3 linked regions of the Saccharomyces cerevisiae S288C genome follow. The gene in region 2 interacts genetically with the main gene of each other region. Each region holds a gene or a part of one and is shown on either strand. Other genes may lie near its edges.

Region 1 (3,145 bases), on a different chromosome or scaffold from region 2:
TACTTATGGACATAAATACTTGGAAGGGAAAACGGAAAGGTTTGATCTTAGAGCACGATGGTGCACGAAGAACAGTTGAGGTTGCTATTAAAATCAACGAACTTATTGGTAGTGACCAATTGACAATTGCAGAATGTATTGGTGATACAGACTACATCGAACGCTACGACTAGAAGTAAGATTTCCGAGAAATAAAGTTTCTCTCTATATATCTTTGATCTCTTATTTAATTATTCAACTCGCAAAAATAAAAAGAATATTTTGTTATTTCAAAAGTAAAAAAGTATGTATTAGAATAGAGGACATATATAAAAATCATATATATCGATGCTTGAATGTATAAGGAAAAGCGTCAAATTATGAACGGTAGGTACTTAGGATGCTGATGTCACATAAAGTCAGAGGGTATAACTTTAAAAAGTAATTTTTTAGAATCTTTTAGCGTCAAAACGTTACACGTACATTTGAACAGTGTTAAGAGTAGATTAATTCAAATTATACTTTTACGTGCTCCGATACAGTCTCTACCTCTTCGTTGTCAGTGCAAATAACAATTGGCTTATCATGAACTGTTCTTGGAGATGGAGAATATCCTTTCAGACTCGTAATATTGATGACGGTAGTTATTCTGCGACATTGAGTAGTACTAGCATCCCTTATAACCGGAATAGTTGTTGATGTAGGTGAACTTTTTGGGACATAACACTTGGCAGTTGTTTGCAAATTTTTTGTGATCATTGATATGTTTCTTAGTGACATTTTTGATGCTATTGTTTTTATAGTGTAATTGCTATGAGTTTATTTTGTTGACAAGTATACTTGGCTGTCTTTTTTATATAATAACGAAAATGTGTAGTGGAAAAGCAGGTGTGTTTTGTCTTATATCTTACAAACTATATAGGCTTATATAGTTTTTTTTCAAAGATTCTTATTACTGCACAAAAAAAAATAAGATCCCAAATTGAACATTAACATTAGTCATATTCAGGGATGGCTCATCACGAACAGCAAACTGAATAATTTTCTTGTCTGCGTTCCTTTTTTTGTGCACCAATGGATGTAGTATGCGCACCTGATGCGCATAATAGATTGCAATTACACTGACTACAACTTACGTATATGCGTTTTTATTACTTTTCTATTGCAACGGCCTAAAGGAATTCGATAAAAGAAAGAGTAGGCAAGATAAGCCTGAATTTGGCTTTCGGCTGTTATTTTTACTTCCGCTAAATTTTCTTTGTTCTTCCATTGTTTTTTTGCCTTTGTGTTCTCCATTAATCCATCCAATTTTAATGTCGGATTAATGGAACTTTCTATTAACCCATAAATGCCACATAGTACGGCTGTAGCAGTGAAGGTTACAAAAGGACGGGTAACACATGAGAAACATGCGTCAGGGAACAAACTAGATATTTGATTTTGTGACGCAACGCAAAAATTACTGGCTATTCTTTTGTAGTATTATCAAAATCCATTTAAAATATTCTCTCTCCTTCAGTAATCCTCTATTATTTATCAAAAACCCACAGTGGGTAAACAAACTGCAAAAGAGTTGTTATTATTTCTACGGATCGGCAATTGAAAATGAGAATACAACTAAATACAATTGATTTGCAATGTATTATTGCACTTTCCTGTCTGGGGCAATTTGTTCACGCGGAAGCTAATAGGGAAGATTTAAAGCAGATAGACTTTCAATTTCCTGTATTGGAAAGGGCAGCTACAAAAACGCCTTTTCCGGATTGGCTTAGTGCATTTACCGGGTTAAAAGAATGGCCTGGGTTAGATCCACCTTATATACCTTTAGATTTCATTGATTTCAGTCAAATTCCAGATTATAAGGAATATGATCAAAACCATTGCGACAGTGTTCCAAGGGACTCGTGCTCTTTCGATTGCCATCACTGCACCGAACACGATGATGTGTACACATGTTCCAAACTTTCCCAGACATTTGACGATGGTCCTTCTGCTTCCACTACTAAATTATTGGACCGGTTGAAGCATAATTCCACCTTCTTCAATTTAGGTGTCAATATAGTTCAACATCCAGATATCTATCAAAGAATGCAAAAGGAGGGACACTTAATCGGCTCACATACCTGGTCTCACGTATATTTGCCAAATGTATCGAATGAAAAAATTATAGCTCAAATTGAATGGTCCATCTGGGCGATGAATGCTACTGGCAACCATACCCCCAAATGGTTCAGACCTCCATATGGCGGAATAGATAATAGAGTAAGAGCAATAACAAGGCAATTTGGCTTACAAGCCGTCTTATGGGATCACGATACTTTTGATTGGAGCCTCCTTCTCAATGATTCTGTCATAACTGAACAAGAAATTCTTCAAAATGTAATAAACTGGAACAAGTCAGGAACCGGATTAATATTAGAACACGATTCAACGGAAAAAACTGTCGATCTTGCCATTAAAATAAATAAGTTGATAGGTGATGATCAATCAACAGTTTCTCATTGTGTCGGCGGAATTGATTACATAAAAGAATTCTTGTCCTAATTTTCAGGGAATTGAAGAAAATAAGGAAGAATTAAATTACAATTTAAAAAGAAATTGCTTTAGTATTTTATATATAGACATGCAGCAACTTCTTGATATATTTCAGGAAGAAAAAAACTGTTTCAATATATACGTATCTTCTGCTTTCAGCTACATTTTTACTTCAGAGACATAACCAGTCTTTTTTCATCAGTACTGTCCAGTTGTAACAACATAGAAATTACAGGAAGTAATTGGTTCCGTTGTTCCTTGTGCTCCAAAAATCCCAACAAAACATTTTTTATATATGCAATTTTTTCATTTTTCTCAGAGTCTAACTCCAATGAACTTGATGATCGTATCTTCTCTAATTTAGTTGGATTAGAGTTATTCGCTGGTGAGGAATCAATATTCGCGTTAGCTAGAGTACCGATAGAACCAGACCTACTAACTCTTCCTGACTTGTCACTGTATTGTCTTTCCTTTAAAGCATTCAATTGAGAGGACAATGAACGATAATTTTTTAGTAATCGATCAAATTTCTTGTTAAGTTCGTTATTTAAATTCAGAAGTTTCTCATTGGCAGACTGTAGCTCAAAATTCTTTTCATCAGCCTTAGACAATGAGAGTTTTAAATTAGATG
Region 2 (3,762 bases):
TATTAAACTTCGGAGAAAAGTCCCTGTTTCAATGACAAATATGAGTTGCACAATAGAATTTTTATATCTATGATTACGCTTGGTAGGATGAAACTCTTAAATTCCGTTATAAGTTTTATAAATCGCCGTAATTGCAAAAATACAGGGTGATGCGTATAAGTCTCATAAAAATCAAATCATTCCCTCTATTGCAACCATATCAAATTTTGATGATGATTATTTTACAATTTTCATTGCCATGGATGAAAATAAACGCTGATATCTTTATAATTAACCCGGAATGGAAATTGTGCACAGTACATCAATGGCGTTTCGAGTATTAAGACCTGTGATTTAGAGCCAATTAGCCAAGTAAAGCGACATTTCCTTTCTATGTTTGGCATCTTTTTTTTTTGGCCTTAAAACAGTGTTTCTATAAAATTAAGGGCCAACTCTTACAATAGTAATGAGATTAATAAGGCCCAAAGAATATTTTGGCCATTTCTTTTTCGTACAACCATATAGTTTTCTCAAGTAGCGACGAAAGAGAGATAACTGAAACAAAATGTCATGGAAGAAGTGCTTATATTAAAAAATCTATGTCGGAAATATTTCTATAGGGAAAAGTATACTAAAATCTTACTCGAGCTTTGAAATGAACAAGCCTAAACCGCCCAATTCCAAGATCTTTAATATACTATAACTTGAAAGTCATACCTGTTATATCACTCCAGAGGTTATTGTGGGAGCATATTTAATGCTTTGTGGGTAAGCTTGATAAACTGTAGTTCTACCACTTTTCCCAGGATACTGATTATGGTAAAAGTTCTTATTTGTCTTACGACTTAGATTTAGCACTCACATTTGTCATCATATGTTGAAAAATCAAGCTGGAATTTATTGGTGGATCTTTCATCTCCATTTATACTTTTTACTTGTTTTTCTCCAAGCAAAAAGATTTCACGTTGTTCGGGAGGTAAATATGAAGTAGGAGAGCAGTCAGGTAGAGTGGTTATCCCATCAGCCAGAACCTGTCCGTAAACAGGTTGTGGACTACAGTATGTGTGTTTTTTTCTTTCTAATTACTCAATTTGGATATTTTGGTGACTATAAAGACCTCTCGTAAATTTCTGAAAATATGCTTCGGTTCGAATCTGTGGTCTGCAGTGCAGCGTGTTGGTATTTTACCGACAGTTTTAGCGAAATATGTATAGATCTGTCACGCTTGCAACATCGCGACAGGTCGATATACTAAAATTACAGCATGAATTTCTGATCTATAATCACACTGTTGCAGTTTCCAGAGAGTCAATCATATTAAGTCCTCAGTTTGAATCAATGTTGGCTTTGTTCTTCTGGAGAGGAATCAGCTCGTTATATGTTTGTCTTTTTCTCTGCTCGAGAGTCATCGCGACATTCCACACCCCGCGTTTTACGTGCACAGAATCTTTCGTAGAAGGGAGCATTTGACATCCTGTCAGCCATATGCAATGAGTATGCCACAAGTTCATGATAGTGTTGACTATAGAATATAAAAAAAAGGTGGGGTCATCTGTAATCGTTGTTTGTAATTCTTAGAGGCCTGTTCTTGGAATTATTATGCAAAGATTACCATCACAAAATCTAACACAAATAGAGATACAGGTCTTGTAAAGCCATTACCTAGCTATGAAAAACTTATCTTTTCTCATAAACAGAAGAAAGGAAAATACAAGTGACTCGAATGTATACCCAGGAAAGGCTAAGTCGCATGAACCCAGCTGGATAGAAATGGATGATCAAACTAAGAAGGACGGCTTAGATATTGTTCATGTTGAGTTCAGTCCGGATACAAGAGCGCCAAGCGATAGCAATAAAGTAATAACAGAGATATTTGACGCTACTGAGGATGCCAAGGAGGCAGACGAAAGTGAAAGAGGAATGCCACTTGCGACAGCATTGAATACATATCCCAAGGCAGCAGCTTGGTCACTATTGGTCTCTACAACTTTAATCATGGAAGGGTACGACACAGCTATTCTTGGAGCTTTCTACGCCTTGCCTATTTTTCAGAGAAAGTTTGGCTCACAAAATGACAAAACTGGAGAATGGGAAATTTCAGCGTCATGGCAAATCGGGCTGACCTTATGTTATATGGCAGGTGAAATTGTGGGGCTACAGCTAACGGGGCCCTCCGTGGATCTTGTTGGAAATCGTTACACATTGATTATTGCATTGTTTTTTTTAGCTGCCTTCACTTTTATACTGTACTTTTGCAATAGTTTAGGCATGATTGCTGTGGGACAAGCATTGTGCGGGATGCCATGGGGTTGTTTTCAGTGTTTGACGGTGTCTTACGCTTCTGAAATATGCCCATTGGCTCTGAGATATTACCTTACAACCTATTCAAACTTGTGCTGGTTATTTGGACAACTTTTTGCAGCTGGAATCATGAAAAATTCTCAAAAAAAATATGCGGATTCAGAATTAGGATATAAACTACCATTTGCCCTACAGTGGATTTTGCCAGTTCCTTTAGCACTGGGAATTTTTTTTGCACCTGAATCTCCATGGTGGCTAGTTAAAAAAGGAAGGTTTGATGAGGCAAGGAGATCACTTAGAAGAACTTTAAGCGGCAAGGGACCTGAAAAAGAAATACTAGTAACTCTGGAGGTGGACAAAATAAAAGTGACTATAGATAAGGAAAAGAGACTCACAAGTAAAGAAGGCTCCTATAGTGATTGTTTTGAAGACAAGATTAATCGAAGAAGAACGAGAATTACTTGTCTCTGCTGGGCTGGTCAAGCCACTTGTGGTTCAATACTAATAGGTTATTCAACTTACTTTTACGAAAAGGCTGGCGTTAGTACTGAAATGTCCTTCACTTTTAGTATTATTCAATACTGTCTCGGTATTTGTGCTACATTTCTATCTTGGTGGGCGTCAAAGTATTTTGGTAGATATGACCTTTACGCTTTTGGACTAGCCTTCCAAACCATTGTTTTTTTCATTATTGGCGGTTTGGGGTGCTCAAGTACGCACGGTTCCAAAATGGGAAGTGGTTCTCTTTTAATGGCTGTAGCATTTTTTTACAATTTAGGAATTGCCCCGGTCGTTTTTTGCCTAGTCTCTGAAATGCCATCTTCAAGACTAAGAACGAAAACAATCATTCTAGCACGTAACACTTATAATGTGGTCAGTATCATATGTAGCGTTCTCATCTTATACCAACTGAACTCTAAGAAGTGGAACTGGGGCGCTAAGTCAGGCTTTTTCTGGGGTGTCTTATGCTTTTGTACTTTAATCTGGGCTGTGGTTGACCTACCAGAAACTGCCGGAAAGACTTTCGTGGAAATAAATGAGTTATTTAAACTTGGAGTTTCTGCAAGAAAGTTCAAATCGACGAAAGTAGATCCGTTTGTTGTCAAAACCCCCCCTAAAGACGTCTCTCATAACGACCCCAAGGGAGATATCGAAGCTTCCATTGCAGAGGAATAGCAATGTATCCCATCACTTATGAGCTAATGAACATTTATCGACACAGGTAAATAGGTAACTATGGTATTTACTCTACATGTTACGGAGTATAATACACGTAGATTTGTTTCTTCCTCATATTCCCATGACATGTCTCAGTAATTGAACTCAAAGTAACATTTAGCTTTCTTCTTGATCATTGCGTTTGGAAATGTATAGTTAGAGAAAAGATTCTTTCTCATCCGAGTATGGCGCGTGAAGAAAATGAAGATGGAGTTGTCGAAACAAATGGTCATCGACATTAGTTTAATTGTCATAGTAACAGTC
Region 3 (3,125 bases), on a different chromosome or scaffold from region 2:
ACAATTGAGTAAAGCTCCCATTCAGGGGTATGCAGATTATTTAGCCTCTATTTTTGTTCCGGGGATCCTAATTTTGGCAGTATTGACTTTCTTTATTTGGTGTTTTATTTTAAACATCTCGGCTAATCCTCCCGTCGCTTTCACCGCAAATACTAAGGCTGATAATTTTTTTATTTGCTTACAAACTGCTACTTCTGTTGTCATCGTCGCATGCCCATGTGCATTGGGACTTGCCACGCCGACTGCTATAATGGTGGGTACAGGGGTTGGAGCTCAGAATGGTGTCTTAATAAAGGGCGGAGAAGTATTGGAAAAATTCAATAGTATTACTACTTTTGTTTTTGATAAAACAGGTACCTTAACTACAGGTTTTATGGTTGTGAAAAAGTTCCTTAAAGATTCAAATTGGGTTGGAAACGTGGATGAAGACGAAGTTCTCGCCTGTATAAAAGCAACGGAATCCATTAGTGACCATCCAGTTTCGAAAGCAATTATACGTTATTGTGATGGTTTGAACTGTAATAAGGCTTTAAATGCCGTTGTTTTAGAAAGCGAATACGTGCTTGGAAAGGGAATAGTCTCAAAGTGTCAAGTTAATGGAAATACTTATGATATTTGTATTGGGAACGAGGCGCTGATTTTGGAGGATGCATTAAAAAAATCCGGATTTATTAACAGTAATGTCGACCAAGGAAACACTGTATCATACGTATCAGTAAACGGGCATGTGTTTGGCTTGTTCGAGATTAATGATGAAGTTAAACATGATTCTTACGCAACAGTTCAGTATCTACAAAGAAATGGATATGAAACGTATATGATTACTGGCGATAATAACTCAGCAGCAAAAAGAGTCGCTAGAGAAGTAGGTATAAGCTTCGAAAATGTTTACAGCGATGTGTCACCCACAGGCAAATGTGATCTCGTGAAAAAAATTCAAGATAAAGAAGGTAATAACAAGGTTGCTGTTGTTGGCGATGGCATTAACGACGCTCCCGCTTTAGCACTGAGTGATCTAGGTATTGCCATTTCAACAGGTACGGAGATTGCTATTGAAGCAGCTGATATTGTTATACTGTGCGGTAATGATCTGAATACTAATAGTTTGAGAGGACTGGCCAACGCCATCGATATTTCACTAAAAACGTTCAAAAGAATAAAGCTGAATTTGTTCTGGGCACTTTGCTATAATATATTCATGATTCCGATTGCTATGGGTGTGCTCATTCCTTGGGGCATAACTCTTCCTCCAATGCTCGCCGGTTTAGCGATGGCATTCAGCTCGGTCAGTGTCGTTCTAAGTTCATTGATGTTGAAGAAGTGGACTCCACCGGATATTGAATCACATGGGATTTCAGATTTCAAGTCCAAATTTTCGATTGGGAATTTTTGGTCAAGGCTTTTTTCTACGCGGGCTATTGCAGGTGAGCAAGACATAGAATCACAGGCCGGACTAATGTCAAACGAAGAAGTCTTGTAAATAACAGGTAAGTCTAATTTATTTAAAAAAATCCACGAGCATATAGATTTATAACAATAATAATAATTAATATTCATCAATTTTTTAGTAAATTCATATATTTTACTCCTACTCTATGTATTTTCAGTAAGTCTACTAGTCGTATTACCCGTCGGTTTCAAGGGATATTATGGAGGTAATAAGGATTTTTTTACCGATTTAAAAACCCATTATATCCCTCTTAGAAAAATTTTAGTATTCTTAGATAAGTTGCTAGATTTACCAATATCAAAGGGAAGACTGCAGGACAACACAAAAACACAAGAAAAGGAGGACAAAAAATGCAGGTTAAATCGATTAAAATGAGATGGGAGTCTGGTGGTGTTAATTACTGCTATCTATTGTCCGACAGTAAAAATAAAAAATCGTGGCTAATCGATCCAGCAGAGCCTCCTGAGGTTCTGCCAGAGTTGACTGAGGATGAGAAAATAAGTGTTGAAGCAATTGTTAATACACATCACCATTATGACCATGCAGATGGTAACGCTGATATCTTGAAGTATTTAAAAGAGAAAAATCCAACTTCAAAAGTTGAGGTTATAGGAGGGTCAAAGGACTGCCCAAAGGTTACGATAATTCCGGAGAATTTGAAAAAGTTACACCTAGGTGACTTAGAGATTACTTGTATTAGGACGCCCTGCCATACCAGAGACTCTATCTGTTATTATGTGAAAGATCCAACAACAGATGAGCGCTGCATTTTTACTGGCGATACACTATTTACCGCTGGTTGCGGTAGGTTTTTTGAGGGTACAGGCGAAGAAATGGATATAGCTCTGAACAATTCTATCTTAGAAACTGTGGGCAGGCAGAACTGGAGTAAAACGAGGGTTTATCCAGGACACGAATACACAAGTGATAATGTAAAGTTTGTTCGTAAGATTTACCCGCAAGTTGGTGAAAATAAAGCATTGGATGAGTTAGAACAATTCTGCTCCAAGCATGAAGTCACAGCAGGGCGGTTCACTTTGAAAGATGAGGTAGAATTTAATCCATTCATGAGATTAGAAGATCCAAAGGTCCAAAAAGCTGCCGGAGATACGAATAATTCATGGGACAGAGCTCAAATTATGGATAAATTGAGAGCTATGAAAAACCGTATGTAGGAAAGCCAACAGAGTATAATATACTTAAAAATATTCTTTTAGCATACCCTTTTATTTCAATGTATAAGAGTTTTTGGAACGCTACTTTATAACATTCAGGTCTGTTCACTAGAACTCTTGTAGTTGTGCCGTCATAAAAATTAGTCTTCGCGTGGCTGAAAGAAAAGTTCCAATAATACGGGCGGCTCGAGTAGAGTAATCATTGCCGTCACAAAACCATTTTCGGGTAGAAATAAAGCAATGGATATTTGAGCTCCAGAATTAAAATGGCTTTCCTTTTGCGGTTTACTATCTACTTGACTTTGGCTGGTATTTAAACACAAGTAAGAGAAGCATCAAACATGGGAAAGAAAAATAGAAAGGGAAAAGAAAATAATGCTGCTAAAACCTCTTTTCTAAAAGTAGAGAATATTAAAAACACTAATTCGGGATTGGAGCTTCCATCGCAAGACTATACAAACGTTGAAGAAAAAGAAAGTAGCCCGAAAACTGACTTTCCA

What was found.
Region 1: mutations in MPH3 (region 2) and CDA2 together harm fitness more than expected from each alone (negative genetic interaction), as found in Saccharomyces cerevisiae (one large-scale study listed by BioGRID).
Region 3: mutations in MPH3 (region 2) and GLO2 together harm fitness less than expected from each alone (positive genetic interaction), as found in Saccharomyces cerevisiae (one large-scale study listed by BioGRID).

The regions. Positions count from the first base shown.
Region 1 is NC_001144.5:746,353-749,497, forward strand, and holds CDA2 (chitin deacetylase CDA2), read left to right. Parts: upstream 1-1,584; coding exon 1,585-2,523; downstream 2,524-3,145. Other genes in the region: chitin deacetylase CDA1, read left to right, coding at 1-173; DPA10 (Dpa10p), read right to left, coding at 496-759; IMH1 (Imh1p), read right to left, coding at 2,682-3,145. UniProt on the Saccharomyces cerevisiae protein: Hydrolyzes the N-acetamido groups of N-acetyl-D-glucosamine residues in chitin to form chitosan and acetate. Chitosan is a component of the spore wall.
Region 2 is NC_001142.9:737,702-741,463, reverse strand, and holds MPH3 (alpha-glucoside permease), read left to right. Parts: upstream 1-1,647; coding exon 1,648-3,456; downstream 3,457-3,762. UniProt on the Saccharomyces cerevisiae protein: High-affinity uptake of maltose and maltotriose. Also transports alpha-methylglucoside, glucose and turanose but not melezitose or trehalose.
Region 3 is NC_001136.10:1,007,210-1,010,334, forward strand, and holds GLO2 (hydroxyacylglutathione hydrolase GLO2), read left to right. Parts: upstream 1-1,800; coding exon 1,801-2,625; downstream 2,626-3,125. Other genes in the region: Cu(2+)-transporting P-type ATPase CCC2, read left to right, coding at 1-1,480; DON1 (Don1p), read left to right, coding at 2,967-3,125. UniProt on the Saccharomyces cerevisiae protein: Thiolesterase that catalyzes the hydrolysis of S-D-lactoylglutathione to form glutathione and D-lactic acid.